Linked DNA regions of Macaca mulatta. The protein of the gene in region 4 purifies or fractionates together with the protein of the main gene of each other region. This does not show direct contact. Links are inferred from orthologs where the notes say so. Each region holds a gene or a part of one and is shown on either strand. Other genes may lie near its edges. The genes, in order: ANKS3, NLRP3, ANKS6 and NEK7.

Region 1 (4,554 bases), on a different chromosome or scaffold from region 4:
TTTTAGTAGAGACGGGGTTTCACCATGTTAGCCAGGATGGTCTCGATCTCCCGACCTCATGATCCGCCCGTCTTGGCCTCCCAAAGTGCTGGGATTACAGGCTTGAGCCACTGCGCCCGGCTGATTTTCTTTCTTTAGGATAAATAACCAGTAGTGGAATTGCTGGATCTCATTTCTTATATTTTAAAAAATTTCTTATATTAAAAAAAATAGAGACAGTGTCTCACTATGTTGCCCAGGCTGGTCTCAAACTCCTGGGCCCAAGTGATCCTCCCGCCTCAGCCTCCCACAGTGCTGAGATTATAGGCGTGAGCCACTGCGCCCGGCCTCACTTCTTATTTTGAATATTTGTGTTTGCTCCTTTTTTCCTTTTAAAGTTAAATACTAGTACTTTGTTTAGTGGAAAAACAAGAAAACCCCATCGGATTTTGATTGATTATTGAGACCTACTGATGGTTTAATTTCTGCTTTTATTTTTCTTTGGCTTACTTTGTTGTTCTAGTTTTTTGAGTTGGAAATTTCTTTCATGTTCATTGTTTCCCTTTTGTTGCTAAATGTTAGAGGCTGTGAATTTTTGCTGATTGCTGCTTTAAGTGTATTCTGGGGGTTCTGTATTTAATACTTTCCTTATTATTTTTCAGAAATTCTATAATTTTTATTTATATTTTCTCCTTCACCCATGAGTTGTCTAATAGAAGTCTTGTGGTTGTTTTTGTTTGTTAATTTCTTGGTAGAAGGGCCTTTTTGATCTTGTGATTAATTTCTCATGTTATTCTGATCACCTTTATTCTAGTGTGTCTGATCAGGTAGTGTTTATAATTCTTACCTTGACAGAACTTCTTTGTCATCTTATTTATCACCTGCTGATCAATAGATATATATTTTTTCAGATGTAGTCTCACTCTGTCACCCAGGCTTGAGTGCCCAGGCGCAATTTCGGCTCACCACCACCTCTACCTCCCAGGTTCAAGCGACTCTCCTGCCTCAGTCTCCCGAGTAGTTGGGATTACAGGCGTCTGCCACCACGCCTGGCTGATTTTTTTTTTTTTTGTATTTTTAGTAGGACAGCGTTTCACCATGTTGGCCAGGTTGGTCTCGAAGTCCTGACCTCAAGTGATCCGCCCACCTCAGCCTCCCAAAGTGCTGGGATTACAGGCGTGAGCCACCGCGCCCAGCCCTGATCAATATTTTTTAATGTTCTGTGTTTTGCTTGAGAAGAAGTTGTATTCTCTATTTTCTGTGTATACAATTTAGCGTATCTGTGAGTATCTTATTTAGGATTATGTACTTTTAGTTCATTTTCTACAAAATTACCTATTAGTGATTTATGAAGGAAGTTGGTGCATTTTTGGTGACAGATTTTCTTAACTTGTTATAGATTCACTGTGAATTACGGCTTTCAGTATTAGAAATGTCCTTCTAGCCGGGCATGGCTCATGCCTGTAATCCCAGCACTTTGGGAGGCCAAGACGGGCAGATCACCTGAGGTCAGGAGTTCGAGACCAGCCCAGCCCACATGGTGAAACCGTGTGTCTACTCGAAATGCAAAAATTAGCCAGGCATGGTGGCACACACCTGTAATGCCAGCTACTTGGGAGACTGAGGCAGGAGAATCATTTGAACCCGGGAGGCGGTTACAATGAGCCGAGATTGTGCCACTGCACTCCAGCCTGGGTATAGAGGGAAACTCTGTCTCAAAAAAAAAAAAAAAAAAAAGTCCTTCTGTGTCATATTTAATGTATTTTGCCCTGATTTCCACTTTGATAGGAGGATTGCAGCTCTGGCTTTTTTGTGGTTTCCATCTGCCTGTAATTCTTAAGCCGCTCTGAGGGTGTGTTGGGTGCTGAGATTCACGCAGCTGCCGTTCCCTTGCTTATTGCCACCTTTGTGCATTTGTCTTACAGCTCCCTCCCCTTTAGCTTGGATGGAAGCACAGTCTCCCTGGGGTGCTGTAGATCTTTGAGTGTGAGGGGGTGTGTGTCCACATAGCTAGCTCAGTCGCCAGGGCGTGAGCCTCTTCATGGGGAAGGACAGAGTGGCCCATGTTCAGGGCCTGAGCTCTCCTTCTTTGCTGGCCTGCCCTGAATTATCCTGTCAGTTTGCACCTGAGTGAGCAGCTCCTTTCTCAGGGTCAGGCTCAGCCCAGCTCCTTCCCTGGTGTTGGGATTGTTTCATAGTAAACACAGCTCAGGTGGTAAAATGGTAACGCAGGGGACCTCTGCCTTCATTTCCGTCTCAGCTTACCAGCTCCACAAGGAGATCTCATGATTTCCTCCTGCATCCAACTCACGTATCTCGTAAAAGTAGAATCGGATCAGAGCCTTATATAAGTCAAATATGAAAAACTGAAAAGCTACAAAATAGTAAAAGCCCTGGGTTGAGCTCTGAAAGCTCAGAAAGCTCAGACTGGGCAGTGATTTGAAACACTTTATAATCATAGCAAACACATGCCATGCTTTAGAAAATACAGAATTGCGGCCGGGCACAGTAGCTCATGCCTGTGATCCCAGCACTTGGGGAAGCCAACGCGGGTGGATCACAAGGTCAGGAGATCAAGACCAGCCTGGCTAACATGGTGAAACTCCATCTTTACTAAAAATACAAAAACAAAACTAGCCGGGCATGGTGTCGGGCGCCTGTAGTCGCAGCTACTCAGGAGCCTGAGGCAGGAGAATGGTGTGAACCCGGGAGGTGGAGCTTGTAGTGAGCCTTGATCGTGCCATTGCACTCCAGCCTGGGCGATGGAGCGAGACTTCATCTCAAAAAAATAAAGAAAAAAAGAAAAAACAGAATTCCTTAATAAGTTGTTTGCAGCCAGGCACAGTGGTTTACGCCTGTAATCACTTTGGGAGGCTGAGGTGGGTGGATCACCTGAGGTCAGGAGTTCGAGACCAGCCTGACTAATATGATAAAACCCCATCTCTACTAAAGTACAAAAATTAGCTGGGTATGGTGGTGCATGGCTGTAATCCCAGCTACGCGGGAGGCTGAGACAGGAGAATCACTTGAACCCAGGAGGCAGAAGTTCTAGCCTGGGCAACAAGAGCAAAACTCCATCTCAAAAAAAAAAAAAAAGTTGCTTCCAAAGGAAGGGATCAGGAAAAAGAAGTTGTGACTGATATTACCATATATTTTAATGAAGAGATGAATTTTATTTATTCAAATTAGAACAAAATTTCTGATTATGAACAATACAGGCTTATGAACAATTTTACAAACCTCGACAGAGATAAGAATGAAACTCCTGGCCAGGCGCGGTGGCTCACGCCTGTAATCCCAGCACTTTGGGAGGCCGAGGCAGGCAGATCACCTGAGGTCAGGAGTTGGAGACCAGCCTGGCCAACATGGCAAAAGCCTGTCTCTGCTTAAAGAAAAAGAAAAAGCTGGGCATGGTGTCACGCACCTGTAATCCCAGCTACTTGGGAGGGTGAGACATGAGAATCGCTTGAACCCAGGAGGCGGAGGTTGCAGTGAGTGAGCCAGGATCATGCCATTACACTTCAGCTCGGGGGACAGAGACTGTGTCTCAAGAAAAATGAAACTTCCGATCCTCACTAACTTTGCAGCTCCCTGTGGCCCATTGGAGCAGCGCCCCGGCCTGTTAGGGCATTTCTCAAAAGTGATGCCCCGGCAGATACCCTTCTCCTTAATTTAACAAAACTGGCGACAGTTACTTTCTTTCAGTTTGCCATAAGGATTAGTAAATGAGTCCATCACTGAACAGACTATCTTAATCCTGGTGTTTGACCACAGAAAAGTACGAAGATCTGAGCTCCTCTGACGAGTCCTGCCCTGCTCCTCAGAGACAGAGGCCGTGCCGGAAGAAGGGTGTCAGCATCCACGAGGGACCGCGAGCCCTGGCCAGGATCACAGGCATTGGCCTGGGCGGCAGAGCCCCACGGCCTCGCTATGGTGAGTGGCCCGCGTTTCCCGAGGGCTCTTTCTCTCTGCATACCAAGATTCTGTGTTGGCCAGGATGGACTAGCTCTTAGGCTCCTGAAACATGGGTCGCTGGACCTTAGGTGGCAGCGGGACAGGTGGCCCAGCTTTCATGCTCAGGGAGACTCAGGATTGAGTCCACTGATGGAAATGCACTGGTCACGGACTAGCTCTTCTTTTTTGCTTAATCTCCTTGAGTTTCCTTTTCATTGGCTAAATTTAGGAATAGAACTTTCTCTCCTGCAGCAGAAATGTAGCCCGCTCAGATTTCATTCATCACATAGGTGAAACCCTGTCTCTACAAACATGTAGCTGGGCATGGTGGCAGGCGTCTATAATCCCAGCTACTCAGGAGGCTGAGGCAAGGGAATCGCTTGAACCCAGGAGGTGGAGGTTGCAGTGAGTCAAGATCACACCACTGCACTCCAACCTGGCAACAGTGCAAGACTGTCTAAAAAAAAAAAAAACCGGCCGGGCGCGGTGGCTCACGCCTGTAATCCCAGCACTTTGGGAGGCCGAGACGGGCGGATCACAAGGTCAGGAGATCGAGACCATCCTGGGTAACACGGCGAAATCCCGTCTCTACTAAAAAAAAACACAAAAAATTAGCCGGGC
Region 2 (4,554 bases), about 54 Mb from region 4:
AACCCCCCCTTTTTTTTTTTTTGAGACAGAGTCTTGCCTTGTCGCACGGGCTGGAGTGCAATGGCACAATCTTGGCTCACTGCAACATCCACCTCCCGGGTTTAAGCGATTCTTCTGCCTCAGCCTCCCGAGTAGTTGGGATTGCAGGCGTGGGCCACCACACCCAGCTAATTTTTATATTTTTGGTAGAGACAAGATTTCACTATATTGGCTAGGCTGGTCTCAAACTCCTGACCTCGTGATCTGCCCGCCTTGGCCTCCCAAAGTGCTGGGATTACAGGCATGAGACACCGCACCCGGCCTTTGTGTAACTCTTACCCAAATAGTGAACATTGTACCCAATAAGTAATTTTCCAGCCCTCACCTGGGTCCCACCCTCCCACCCTTCTGAGGCTCCAGTGTCTATCATTCTATGCTCTGTGGATGTTACCCTTTGTTTAGCTCAAACTTGTAAGTGAGAACATGTGGTATTTGACTCTGTTTCTGAGGTATTTCACTTAAGATAATGGCCTCCAGTTTCATCCATGTGGCTTCAAAGATGTGACTTCCTTCTTTTCTATGGCTGAGCAGTATTCCATTGTGTATATAGATCACACTCTCTTGATCTTTGCTCTTTTGATAAATTTCAAATTGTCGTACCATGGAGACTGGCTCTTTGGGACACTTAACCTTATTTCTCCAACTTCATCCCCAAGTTCTCTCCCCACTGCCATTGCCCCTGTGTGATTCTGGAGAGGGAGACACAAACAGGAAAGGGTAGGTGACAATGAGATGTTCTGCAGATAAGTAGAGATCCATTTGTCCATTTGCTTGAAGTTGGTGTAAGGATAGGGACAGAAAGGAAGGTGGTCTAACAGGCTCCAGGACCTATGAACTATTGCCCTGGAAAGAAACTAGAATGTCGTTCTCGCCCCCACGACAGGGATACATTTTTGTTGCTGGTGGTGGTGGTGACGGTGGTAGTGATGTGCGTGTGTGTGTGTGCATGTGTGTAACGGTGAAACCAATAAAGAATCAGAGCTGCAGCGGGGTGCGGAACCCCAGCACTTTGAGAGGCTGAGGTGGGCAGATCATAAGCCCAGGAGTTCAAAACCAGCCTGAGCAAGCTGGTCAGACCTTGTCTTTACAAAATAATAAATAAATAAATAAATAAATAAATAAAATAGCTAAGCATGGTAGCACATGCTGGTATTTGCAGCCACTTGGGAGGCTGAGGCAGGTGGATCTCCTTGAGCACAGGAGTTCTAGGTGGCAGTGAGCTATGATCTCACCATTGCACTCCAGCCTGTGCAACAAAGTGAGACCCTGTCTCTAAAAAAAAAGAAAAGAAAAAGAAAGAGAAAAAGAATCAGAGCTGCTTTTCCTTTCAATATAGATGGATGGCTGGGATGAAATCATCAAGCACAATGGGGTGACAATGTTGGTAAAGACAAGAAATAGCTGAGTGCAGCGCTGGCGAGGGCAGAGCCGACTGCGGGCACATCAACAGTTAGGAACACAAGGGAAGGAGGTGGAGTGCACAGGCCCACACCACCCGTTTCACTTACAAGCCAGGAGCTCACCATTCACTTGTCTGGGGGGTGACTGCAATGCACCCGGCACTGTTTATGGCCGGGAATTCACTGACGGGTGCTCCCTCTGCTGTGACTGGGGAGCCTGAGGGCTGACCTTGTGCTGTATTCCGGAGTTCTCTGGTCAGATGTGTTCTGACGCTTTCTGCCTCTGTTCTTGGCATGAAGGTTGGGGCGCTGCGGCCTCTCGCATGAGTGCTGCTTCGACATCTCCTTGGTCCTCAGCAGCAACCAGAAGCTGGTGGAGCTGGACCTGAGCGACAACGCCCTTGGGGACTTCGGGATCAGACTTCTGTGTGTGGGACTGAAGCACCTGTTGTGCAATCTGAAGAAGCTCTGGTGAGTTGAGCCCGTTCCCCAAAGGAAGCCCTGCCAACAAGGCATGTTTCGCACTCTGGCTTCAGTGAGGCCTGGGGGGCTGGAGTTTGAGTGACAGTGGCCTCGGCGGCTCAGGTGGCTGTGTGTGCTTGTCTCTGGGTGTCTGTGGCATTTCGGTTAGTTAGTGTTTGCTGTGGGGAATGTCACACACTCAACCCTGACAAGGGGCATAAGTAATAAAAAAAGAAGATGACTGCCTGTAGGGTGCCCACTGCCTTAGCTGAGAAAAAGAAGAAAACCAGTGTAATGCATTGCTTTAGAGGAGTTTTAGAATTTCATGACAAGCCCTGGGTCCTCATGTTGTATAAGAAAAATGGTGCTAAAGCAGTGCAGACACTCGATGTTGTATGCAGCCCTTCCCTGAATGCTTCTGGGAGACTTGCATTTTGAAGGAGAGAAAAAAACACTTAAAAATGGAAGGGCCAATTCTCACCCATTAGGATGGCTATTATTAAACAAAAGCAAGAAAACTAGAAAACAAGTATTGGCATGGATACGGAGAAATGGAAGCCATTGTGTATTGCTGGTGGGAAAGTAAATGATGCAGCCAGTGTGGAAAACAGCACTGCAATTCCTAAAACAATATAGAATTACTATTGAAGCCAGCATTTCCACTCCTGGGTATATCTGCAAAAGAGTTCAAAGCAGTAACTCAGCCAGGCACAGTGGCTCACACCTGTAATCCCAGCATTTTGGGAGGCCGAGGCAGGTGGATCACTTGAGGTCAGGAGTTTGAGACTAGCCTGGCCATCATAGTAAAACCTTGTCTCTACTAAAAATACAAAAATTAGCCAGGCGTGGTGGCACGTGCTTGTAATCCCAGCTACTCCGGGTGGAGGCAAGAGAATCGTTTGAACCTGGGAGGCGGAGGTTGCAGTGAGTCAAGATCATGCCACTGCATTCCCACCTGGGTAACCGAGGAAGAGTTAAAAAAAAAAAGAAGGCAGGAACTCAAACATGTTATTTGTACACCCATGTCCATAGCAACACTATTAGCACTAGCCAAAAGGTAGAAATAACCCAAACGTCCTTCAACGGATAAAGGGTGTTGAAAAGTGCTATATATGTACATTCAGCTTTAAAAGGAATTCTAGTACACACTACAACATGGATGAGCCTCAGGGACATTATGCTAAGTAAGATAAGCTAGGCTTGAAAGGGCAAATACTCTGTGATTGTCCTGATAAGAGGTGCCTAGAATAGTCAGATTCATAGAGACAGAAAGAAAGGTGGTTGCAGGCAATGGGAGAGTGGGGAACGGGAAGACATTGTTTAATGGTTATGGAGTTTCAGTTCGGCAAGATGAAAGGAGTTCTGGAGACGGTGGTGAAGATGGTTGCACAACAATGTGAATGTGCTTAAGGCCGTTAATCGTGCACTTAAAAATGGTTAAGATGGTAAATTTCATTTTACACGTATTTCACCACAATAAAGCTGAATGTAGGGAGCTGGGAAGATGTAGTATTGGTGCGAGCTTGTTATTCCGCCAGATGGAAGAGGAAATCAGAAGTGTACGTAGAGCTTGTGTCCACTCCCTTTCCATGTGTAAACTGGAGTAGAGGCAGTGGCAGGTACGGGTGCCTCCTTGTTCATGGTGGAGCGTGGGTGAGAGACATGACTGACATTCTGCCGTCTTTGTGGAAGGCTGGTCAGCTGCTGCCTCACATCAGCGTGTTGTCAGGATCTTGCGTCAGTATTGAGCACCAGCCGTTCCCTGACCAGACTCTACGTGGGGGAGAATGCCCTGGGAGACGCAGGAGTCGCAATTTTATGTGAAAAAGCCAAGAATCCACAATGTAACCTGCAGAAACTGGGGTAAGTCTTCATGGGTGTCTCAGCAGAAAAGTAACTTCTTTTCAGAGGTGAATTATGTGGAAAATGTGGATGGGGGTTACTCTGGTCAGGCAGAGTTGAAGGTAGAGTAAGGAGGTAAAAACATCAGAAATGGTTTGAAGGACTGGATGTATATAATGTATACTACTGCTAATGAGATAATTTATGCTAATTTATGATTATAGCATTAGAGTTTCTTAGTGTTGGAAAAAACCTTAGAGATTGTGCAGCCCAATTGCCCATTGAGGAAAAAAATTGTTTCCAAGGCACTCACATGAATAGTCACCCATTTTATGTGTGCATGCATGCAAGTTATCGTCCAGTGCGTGCAGCCTCTACACCAGGAAAGAGCTCTTACCCTGCAGCCTCTACAGTAGGAGAGGGATTTTACCCTGCAGCCTCTGCACTAGGAGAGAGCTTTTACCCTGCAGCCTCTTTATCCTCAACAGTGTCAGGGCTCAGCACCTTCACCTGTGTAGCCATGCTCTCCCAGGTACACAGGCTGGTTTGTTAGTGTCTCTCTTTGCAATTTGGTGCCCAGACCTGATGACGTGTGGTGGATGTTTTAGCTCCTGTTGCAGAGAACTATGGTTTCACTGGTGGAGCCTCTGATTTCCTTATGGTTTTTGGCAGTTACATAAACCTTTTGGTTCATGTTGGAATTCTGCAGTAAACAGTAGTAGAGAATACCCACTAATAATCATGCACTTTCCCTGTACCACTTTCCCTATACCACTTTCCCGTATCACCTGCTCTTTCCTGTTCTTACATG
Region 3 (4,554 bases), on a different chromosome or scaffold from region 4:
GGTCCCAAAAGAGGGCCTGTCACAGCAGGGGAGGGTCAAAGAGGAGTAGCAGGTACCAGCTGAGGACCAAGAGGGGTGGAACTAATGGCAACATTCCCAGCACAGGACCCTTGACCCTGCAGCCTCTATCTACACAATTAAGCTGAGGGGGCCATCGCTCTATCTCCCATTCTGCTTATCAAAGGGGCCTTTATGTTTCCACCTGAGTGACTCAGGATTTCTGGCTGTGAAGCACAGATGCCATTCTAGAGTGTGTGTGGACTGCGAAGTCAGACATGTCTTATTTTCCTTCCCTCTCTGGAGACTCCTAGGAGGTTGGTGCTGGAAGAAGCCCCCAGGGCCACCTGGTCCAAGTCCAGTGCTCCACTGGGGAGGGAAGGGACTTGCCTAAGGATCATGTGGTAAGCTCCTGACACTTGAGAATGACTTTCCCCCACGAATAATCAAGTGCATAAAATACAAGTCACAGAGGAGGTGGTTGTCTTGACTCCCAGCCGGAGAAATGCTGGGTAGATTTACAACCCTTTTCTTGAAATTACCCACCGGGATCATTCAGCAGCATCACCAGGTCAAAGGCTGTGTATCCATTTTTTGCACGAAGAGTGACATCAGCCCCTTGGTTTAGCAGATATTTGACAATTTCCTTATTCCTGGGAAGAAAATGCTAGAGTTACATTCACTGAAAGCAAAAGTATGGCTTTGCTCCTGGGCAACAAAACCAACAACATTAACTACAAGGCTCAGTCTCTGAGCATTTAAGAAGGGCATGGAAGGGCAAACAGTCTCATTCTCTCATTCCCTAGCACGTGGGCAGGTCAAGCGGGAACATGATTTAAATCAAAGTCTAAGTGTTCCTTCCAGGAACAAAATGAAAACCGAGGCTAGATGTGGTGGCTCACACTTGTAATCCCACCACTTTGGGAAGCAAAGGCGGGAGGATGGCTTGAGCCCAGGAGTTTGAGACCAGCCTGGGCAACATGGGGGGCCTTGTCTCTACCAAAAATTTTGTTTAAAAATCAGCTGGGTGTGGTGGTGCAAGCCTGTAGTCCCAGCTACTTGAGAGACTGAGGCAGGAGGATTGCTTGAGTCTGGGAGGTCAAGGCTGTAATGAGCCATGATCACGCTACTGCACTCCGGCCTGGCAACAAAGTGAGATACTGTCGGAAACAGAAGGGAAGGGGAAGGGAAGGGGAAGGGGAAGGGGAAGGGAAAGGGAAAGGGGAAGGGGAAGAGGACCAAACCAAGGGCTCTGCCCAAAAATCACTGACCCCATGGGAGACCCCACTTCTTCCACCCTAAACCAGGACATGTCCATTGGGTAAGTCTCCTACAGACCAAGGTGTCTGAAATAAAATTTCATCTTGGAATTCAATGCTCATCGAAGAAGAAAACAAACTGCTTTCAGATGACACAGGAAAGTGATCTAATCACCTAAAAGAGGGTAAGGAAAGAACCTCTAATTGGGAATCAGATAACTTAGCAGCTACAAGATGCCCACCCCAAAGAGGAGGCCTCCAGGAGGATGACAGCCCACCCTGCTGGGATGATCACATAAGAAGGGGTTCATAAGCACCCTGTAAACACTGAAGCTTATTCAAAAGGAGAGAGGTAGGACACATCTCACCATCAATCATCACAAGATGACAATGGTATGAATCACCAATGTTTACTTCATACAGGGGCTACTTAAGGAGGTCACTATATCTCAGTGTGAAAACTCCAATGAACCAGTCATTGTGTTCAACTGAAACCAACCTAGAGAACCTTATCTCTCTGCATAAAATGCTTCTGCTGCATGGTTTTTCATGGCCACTGGTGAAATTCTGTGATGGGAGAACAGGAAATCTGGACACAGAAGGGTGGAAATAAAATGAACCTGTGCCGCTTTCATTTTTTTCTTTCTTTTTTTTTTTTTTTGCATGCCTCAATGTCATCACAGTCCTGGGGTTTGTATGCAGCATCTCAGGACCAGAAGAGCCCACTGGAAACCCCCATCTCAGGCCAGAACATATGTCTGGCCTTGTTGCTGAGGGCGTGGAGCTGGCACTGACCCATGGTAGGTCGCCTGCATGAGGGCTGTCCAGCCATGCACGCTGTCCTGCTTGTCAACATCCGCGTGCCTCTCCACCAGTAGCTGCACCAGAGCCAGCTGCCCTGTAACAGCTGCTAGCATCAGGGGCGTCGCCCCGTCCCCATTGACCAAGTTCACGTGGCTGGGGTCTTCATCGGCAATCTCTTTGACCAGCTGGAAGTTTCCTACAAACACAAGCAAGAGTCTGGGTGATCTGTGGGCCTGGGACCATAAGCTGATTTATCCTGTGGTTCACGTAACAAACACTTGCTGGCCCTGCCTCTGCAGTGGGCTGCTGGGCACCATAGGGGATACTAAGAGGGGGTCAGAGATAGCGCTGACTCTCAAATGCTTCAGTCTAGGCGGGACAGAGACAAGCACACGAATGGGTAGAAGTGTTACTAAAAGACAGAAGTATTGTTAGTATCTTCAGAGAACAGATGAAGGACACAGAAGAAGGCAGAAGGAGAATTCAGGTCTTGCTGTGGGGTGAGGATCGGGAAAGGCTTCCTGGAGGAAGGGTCTATATCAAGAGAGAAAATTTTAGGCTAAATGTCTCTTTGTCACAAAGAGACTGGAATGGGTATGCAGACAGGCATTTCAGAGGCAGGAAGAGCTGGGGCATATAGCTAGCCAGTGTTCGGCTGGAGTGGGGCTGGAGGCCCTCTGGAGTCTATGTGTAGAGCTCCATAATAAATACTGGCCTCCAGGATCTGAACTTCCAAACACCAAACACCAAAATGCCTGTTTCTTTCTCAAATAACCTGGGTGGCCCTGCAAAGGACTACAAATATTAGGTTGGGAGAATGTAGTTCTGTATTCTTAAATATCCAAAAAGATCTTCTAAAGCGCTTACCCATTTTCAATGCATGGAAAATATCAGGTCGCCTTTTCTCTTCATCTGGGTAAACAAAGATTTTAAAAGTTAACCACGGAAAGGTTTAATATAACAGAAAAGTCACAAGGGTGTAACAACACAGCCTGGCTTTAAAAAGCATCTAATTCTCAAAAGCAATCTAATTGGAGACCTACGTAATGGACAAATCCAGCAGCCCTTCTGGAAGGTTTATTACCAAAGAACATCTGAAAACACTTCAGAGACAGATCTTGCCAACAAAACACAAAAGAGCAGCAGATCACGGCCCTGATCTCATGCAAATAAAGCAATCATTTTTAGGCAAAACAAATGTTGGCATATCCTTTCCTAGATATACTGAAAAGTCTTGGGGTCTTGGAAAATCTTGGATTCCTATGGACATTGTTTAAAAAAATTTTTTTTCTTTTAAAAACTAAACATACAATCATAATTCCAAATCTGCTGCTGACATACCGAGCAGCTGAGCTCTACGGAAGTTCACAGACACAGCCAACAGAAGAGCCAATGCTCATGTTTTCTTTCCCTCCCATGTAAGAAGCAATCAGAACATGCTCCCTGCCCCAAACCTGCAGACACAGCTGCCCAAAGGCCACTGCCCAACTGGGCATCTTCATGCTGTACCCTGAAGCCCAGCTGCTAGGTTGGGGCCAGACCCCATGCCTACCTGCACAGCTGAGCCTTGCTGCAGCTGCCAGATGCTAGCCCCTCTCTCACATGCTCATCCCACACCTTCCTCCAAGCCTGGGCCAGCAGGTACCCTGCTCCTGTCAGAGGAGGCATCCTCATGGCCAGTCTGCTTGCTAGGGGGCTGAAGGCAGGCCTTCTGCAGTCTTTAACTGATCCCAGGGGACGGAGCAGCTGCCAGAGGGAACTTGTGAATCTGGGCTGACTCTGGTCCAGATAAGCCCTCTTGAGCAGCTGGGAGGAAGCTGCAGCCCGGGGCAAGGAGCACTGAGTGTGGAGTCAGTGCATAAGAATTTCAGTGCGCATTTTTACAGTAAGCTGCCTCTTCATCACAAATGTGGGGATAACATCCCTTTCATCTGGCTGTTGCAGGGATCAAATGATAATGTTAAAGCCCCATTCAAAGAACAATTATTTCTTTACTAGCAACCAGCAAGGTGGACCCCAGAATTCTTTTTATGAGATGGAGTCTCACTCTGTTGCCCAGGCTGGAGTGCAGTGGTGTGATCTCGGCTCACTGCAACCTCTGCCTCCTGGGTTCAAGTGATTCTTGTGCCTCAGCCTCCCGAGTAGCTGGGATTACAGGCACATGCCACCACACCTGGCTAATGTTTGTAAGAGACAGTGTTTCGCCATGTTGGCCAGGCTGGTCTTTAACTCCTGACCTTGAGTGATCTGCCCGCCTTGGCCTCCCAAACTGTTGGGATTGCAGGCGTGAGCCACCGCTCCAGGCCAGAACCCCAGAATTCCTTTTTTTTTTTTTTTTTTTTTTTGAGACAGAGTCTTGCCCTGTCTCCCAGGTTAGAGGGCAGTGGCAAGATCTCGGCTCACTGCAATCTCCACCTCCCGGGTTCAAGCGATTCTCCTGCCTCAGCTTCCAGAGTAGCTGGGATTACAGGCACCCGCCACCACACCTGGCTAA
Region 4 (4,554 bases):
CTCAGCTCACTGCAAGCTCTGCCTCCCGGGTTCACGTCATTCTCCTGCCTCAGCCTCCAGAGTAGCTGGGACCATAGGCGCCAGCCACCCCGCCCAGCTAATTTTTTTTTTTTGTATTTTTAGTAAAGATGGATTTTCACCATATTAGCCGGGATGGTCTCGATCTGCTGACCTCGTGATCCGCCAGCCTTGGCCTCCCTAAGTGCTGGGATTACAGGTGTGAGCCACTATGCGCAGCCTGTATATCATTTTATATACTGCTATTTTCACTATGTAAAAGCACATGCATTTGTACAAGAAATAAAAGGGACTGAGCCAAAGCTAAAATTCTTTAAGGCATTGAGTTTATGGATTTTATTTTTGCTTTATAATCTTATCTAATATCTTCATGGTTTTTTTTAAATTAAGAAAAATTAGAACTTTGTGTATCTTTGGATAGTAAGAATGATATCTAGAAAAAGTTGCCTCTCATAAGCTGTAATTATACACCCTTATTCCATATTTACCTTTATGCATTAGATATCTTTTGTTTCTGTCTGGTAGAACCCTGTAATTCTTTCAAGCTTCACCTCTAATGCTGCCCCCTCCCTACATGGGAGGAATTTCTTCCTTAGGTCTCTAATGCTACATTTTGTACACACATGTATTTTAATACTTCTTAGCTAGTTGTGTATGCATTACACTTCATGACAGCCTGGCTCATTGAGAAAACACTGACTGTGGAGCTAGAACAACCTGGCTTCAAGATTCTGTCATTTACTAGTTTTATGATCATAAGCATATTATTTAATATTTTTGAGCCTCAATCCTCATTTTGTTATTGTGGCCAGTACTACCTATCTTATAAGATTGCAATGAATTTCAAAGCATCATGTGTAAAGAGGCCAGCCCTCTCTGCTGGTGTCTAATAACTACTTCTCTAATTAAAAAGACTTGGATTCTGCCACTCCTTTGACATCGTACCTTTTCTTGGAATGTTAGCTGGCTGAATCAGGAAGACTTGATCAAGCTGATTACTAAAAATGTCATTTTTTAAAATTTGTTATGTCACTAGAGTTTTAATCACCTTGCAGTACTGACTTAGATTTTTTTTTTCCAGTCTCTAAGATATTGCTTTTTTAAATGTTATTTTCCACACACTTAGAACCTTGAGAGATTTGTGTTTTCAGAGACACATGAAATACCTTTTTGATTGTATTTTTTATTTTTATGTTTTTAATGGTAGGTTAATATTTTTCAACCCTTACTTCATTATCTTCCCTTCAAACTGCTTTTTTAGGCATTTCTTCCCAATTACCTCTACCCATGAAATTTTAATTCCACAAATACATCTGTTTATGTGCAATACTGTATGTGTATCTACACTTTATACTTAATAGAGTAAAATTTTGTTACCCTTCTCCTCAAAGAACCAAATTTCACCCCCTTGAAATGATAGCACCCTTGTCAAAAATGCATACATCAGACCTTTTAGACATGATTTGATGGAACAGATTAATAGTTCACTGCTTGGGTTCTAGACGGATAATTCTAAGAATGAATTCTGCTTGCTCTGTTGATTAGCTATGTGACCTTTTGTCAGTCTCCTTAGCTTTCTAAAGCTTCTCTTCTTCATCTGTAAAATGGGAATACTACTATTATCATCCTCATAAGGTTGTGCAGTACATTTAGCATATATTAATTGCTCAACATGTATTAGCTATTACTTTATCATCTTAATAATCACAACTTTAATTTTGTTCTTTGGAACTTAAGACCTTAGTGTCAAGGGATATCTAACTGTTCTCTTTATCCATTTTTTAAATACTGACTGCTGAAAATGTAAGTGTTGTTGGTAACGTAAGATACCTGCAGACCTCTATAATAAATAAAAGCTAATCGGAAAGAAAATTCCTTAGTGTACATATAATTACATGTAGAGTATTAAAATGAATTTACATGATAGCTTGAACCACAGGTTATTATTTCATTAAATAATTCTGGGTTCTATTTTTAGATATTTGATTTAATGGATGCCAAAGCACGTGCTGATTGCATCAAAGAAATAGATCTTCTTAAGGTAATTAATGAACTATTGACTCTTTTGAACATAACATTGTGATAAAAGTGATTTACTAAAATATCACACGTAAACACAAAAAGGTTTTTAAGACTTACACTACACTGATTTTCAAGTAATATTATGTAAGGTTGAATTTCAGTATATTGAAGAATATAGTTATTTTTTGGATTTATTGTTAAATAATATAATCAGAACATTTGGTAGGACCAGCTTTTTTTTTCTCATTTCAAACTAGGAAATAGATAAAACGGGCATAAAACATTGAAAAAATTTTTTTCTTGACCACCCCAACAAGATATATTCTAAAGGTTAAGTAATATAAATGCAAATTAGTATTATCTCAACATGTATTATATTGAAATGGTTCACATGCATTTTCTAATGTTTCAAAACCTTTTTCCAGACTTAGACAGAGTGCATCTAAAGAGTATGCCAGGAATTAGCTTTTTAGTTTCTCATCTACTAAAAATATGACTGAGACCTCAATTATTTCTGCACTGATTCGTTTATAGTGAAGTTTCTTTTGAGAAATGCTGTGGCTTATGTTGTATTTTTAACTTTTAGTTAAGATTTGGGTGTTTTTTTATGCCATCCATTTGTGTTAGTGCCTAAAATGAACCAGATTTATGCAAAAAGGAAAAAAGTAAGGTCAAAGCAATGTTTTCTGACTATTTTGTTAGTTGTAGTTATTTCTTGGCACATGAAGTAGCTGGCTTAAATATATGTGAACTTTTACTGTAGAAATAGCACGTCATCATAGAAAATTTGCGGAGAAAACTTTAAGTAGAAAGAAGAAAGTCACCCATACTTTCTGCATAATTTCTCAGAGAAACAATGCATCTCATATTAATGTGTTTAAAGATTGAACAAAAGGACTGTAAATGAGTAGGGACTGATACATGTATTTCTACAAGGTAAAATTTTTCTTAGGGATGATTTTATGAATTGGCTCACATAAATAAGTCCTGTATATTATTTGATATAAAAGCAATAGTTAGATATAGTATAGTAGATACCAGCTGTGTTTTGTCTGCTAGCTGGAGTTATTCTAGGACCAGCCATAACTTCTAAATAGGAGTAAAAAGGGCTACTTTATCATTGAGTGTTCCTAAATGAAAGTTCTCATTTTGAGGGTGTAATTTTTAGCAGTTGGTGACCTAATTCTGTCATTTACTTCTTGCATCTGTTGATATACTTATTGGGCTTAGCAGTACTTTTAAATTAAGATTTAAATGTAAAATATATTATTTCTAATAATATTAAGGTGAAATTATACCTTTTACTTTTAATAATTGTAGTATTTGTTTCAAAATTCATTAAAGAAAAATATACTGTCATGTTAAGATTTCTATAATTTAAAAAATACAGTTAAGTTTGTTCTTAAGTTACAAAACTGTAAGTGACTCTTAGAAATTTACAGTAAGAAAACTTTCTGATGCCTGTTTTATTTTCTCAGCAACTCAACCATCCAAATGTAATAAAATATTATGCATCATTCATTGAAGATAATGAACTAAACATAGTTTTGGAACTAGCAGATGCTGGTGACCTATCCAGAATGATCAAGGTAAGTTTTTAAAAAATCGTCTTAATATTTTGTTTTGTTTTTTCTAATAGAATTGTCTGTTAAACATATAGGGATATTAGATATTTTAAACTAAAGACCTCAATGCAAGACTTATCTGGTAGATATGTAATAAATAGTAGATGATTAGTGATCATAATTCTGAAACTGGTTTACTTGGTGATGTTTCCACTGGTCAGCTTAAATATCTAAAACCAAAACCAACTTGGAAAGGGACCAAGATACTTGTCTTCTATAAGTCAAGTTTTGCTGTTTGATTCTCTGAGCAGACCATGCTTGCTCCTGTGTCTCTGGACATGAGTAAAAGGAGGTAGAAAGAGACTCTAGAGCAGCCTGACCTATTTCTGGGGGGGATCCATCAAAGAAAGTGGGATTTGCAGTCAGACCTTGGATATCAACCCCACATAAAAATTGTTTTACCTTCTTTTCTAAGGGCATATTAATTGGGTTTAAGTTCAGCTGCAATTAATAGAAACCCTTAAATAATAGTAGCTTAAAAACTGTTTGTCCTTGGGCCAGTTACTCCTCTGCGTCACATTTTCTAAAAAACAAAGTAATAATATGACCTACTTTATAGGATTGTTGTAATTATTGAATTAATTAACATTTATTAAGAGCTTAGAAGAATGCCTCACACATTGTAAGGCTATGTAAATGTATCTGCTGCTGCTATTATTATTATTGTTATTTTTATTACTTCTCTGTCACGTAAAAGTCTGGGGCTAGTATGGTAGCTCTGTTCTATCAAGAGTATTTTAGAGACCTAGCCTATTTCTAGCTTATCAAGTCACACTAGGCTTGAAGGGACAAAGAGTACATGCTGGCTTTATCTTAAAGCACATTCCTGAGTGCTGCCTGTCACACAACATTTTCAGCTTCATTCCCTTGGCCAGAATGTAGTCTCATG

Evidence for each region.
Region 1: the proteins of NEK7 (region 4) and ANKS3 purify together in Homo sapiens (affinity purification with mass spectrometry; 3 studies listed by BioGRID and IntAct, with this or other methods). This does not show direct contact. The link is inferred for Macaca mulatta from reciprocal best matches to the Homo sapiens genes NEK7 and ANKS3.
Region 2: the proteins of NEK7 (region 4) and NLRP3 purify together in Homo sapiens (affinity purification with western blotting; 9 studies listed by BioGRID and IntAct, with this or other methods). This does not show direct contact. The link is inferred for Macaca mulatta from reciprocal best matches to the Homo sapiens genes NEK7 and NLRP3.
Region 3: the proteins of NEK7 (region 4) and ANKS6 purify together in Homo sapiens (affinity purification with mass spectrometry; 3 studies listed by BioGRID and IntAct, with this or other methods). This does not show direct contact. The link is inferred for Macaca mulatta from reciprocal best matches to the Homo sapiens genes NEK7 and ANKS6.

The regions. Positions count from the first base shown.
Region 1 is NC_133425.1:5,965,777-5,970,330, reverse strand, and holds part of ANKS3 (ankyrin repeat and SAM domain-containing protein 3), read left to right. Parts: intron 1-3,753; coding exon 3,754-3,912; intron 3,913-4,554. UniProt on the Homo sapiens protein: May be involved in vasopressin signaling in the kidney.
Region 2 is NC_133406.1:1,600,679-1,605,232, reverse strand, and holds part of NLRP3 (NACHT, LRR and PYD domains-containing protein 3), read left to right. Parts: intron 1-1,739; coding exon 1,740-1,910; intron 1,911-3,593; coding exon 3,594-3,764; intron 3,765-4,554. UniProt on the Homo sapiens protein: Sensor component of the NLRP3 inflammasome, which mediates inflammasome activation in response to defects in membrane integrity, leading to secretion of inflammatory cytokines IL1B and IL18 and pyroptosis.
Region 3 is NC_133420.1:59,622,371-59,626,924, reverse strand, and holds part of ANKS6 (ankyrin repeat and SAM domain-containing protein 6), read right to left. Parts: intron 2,973-4,554; coding exon 2,928-2,972; intron 2,257-2,927; coding exon 2,052-2,256; intron 651-2,051; coding exon 544-650; intron 1-543.
Region 4 is NC_133406.1:55,876,665-55,881,218, forward strand, and holds part of NEK7 (serine/threonine-protein kinase Nek7), read left to right. Parts: intron 1-1,996; coding exon 1,997-2,059; intron 2,060-3,518; coding exon 3,519-3,629; intron 3,630-4,554. UniProt on the Homo sapiens protein: Protein kinase which plays an important role in mitotic cell cycle progression. Required for microtubule nucleation activity of the centrosome, robust mitotic spindle formation and cytokinesis.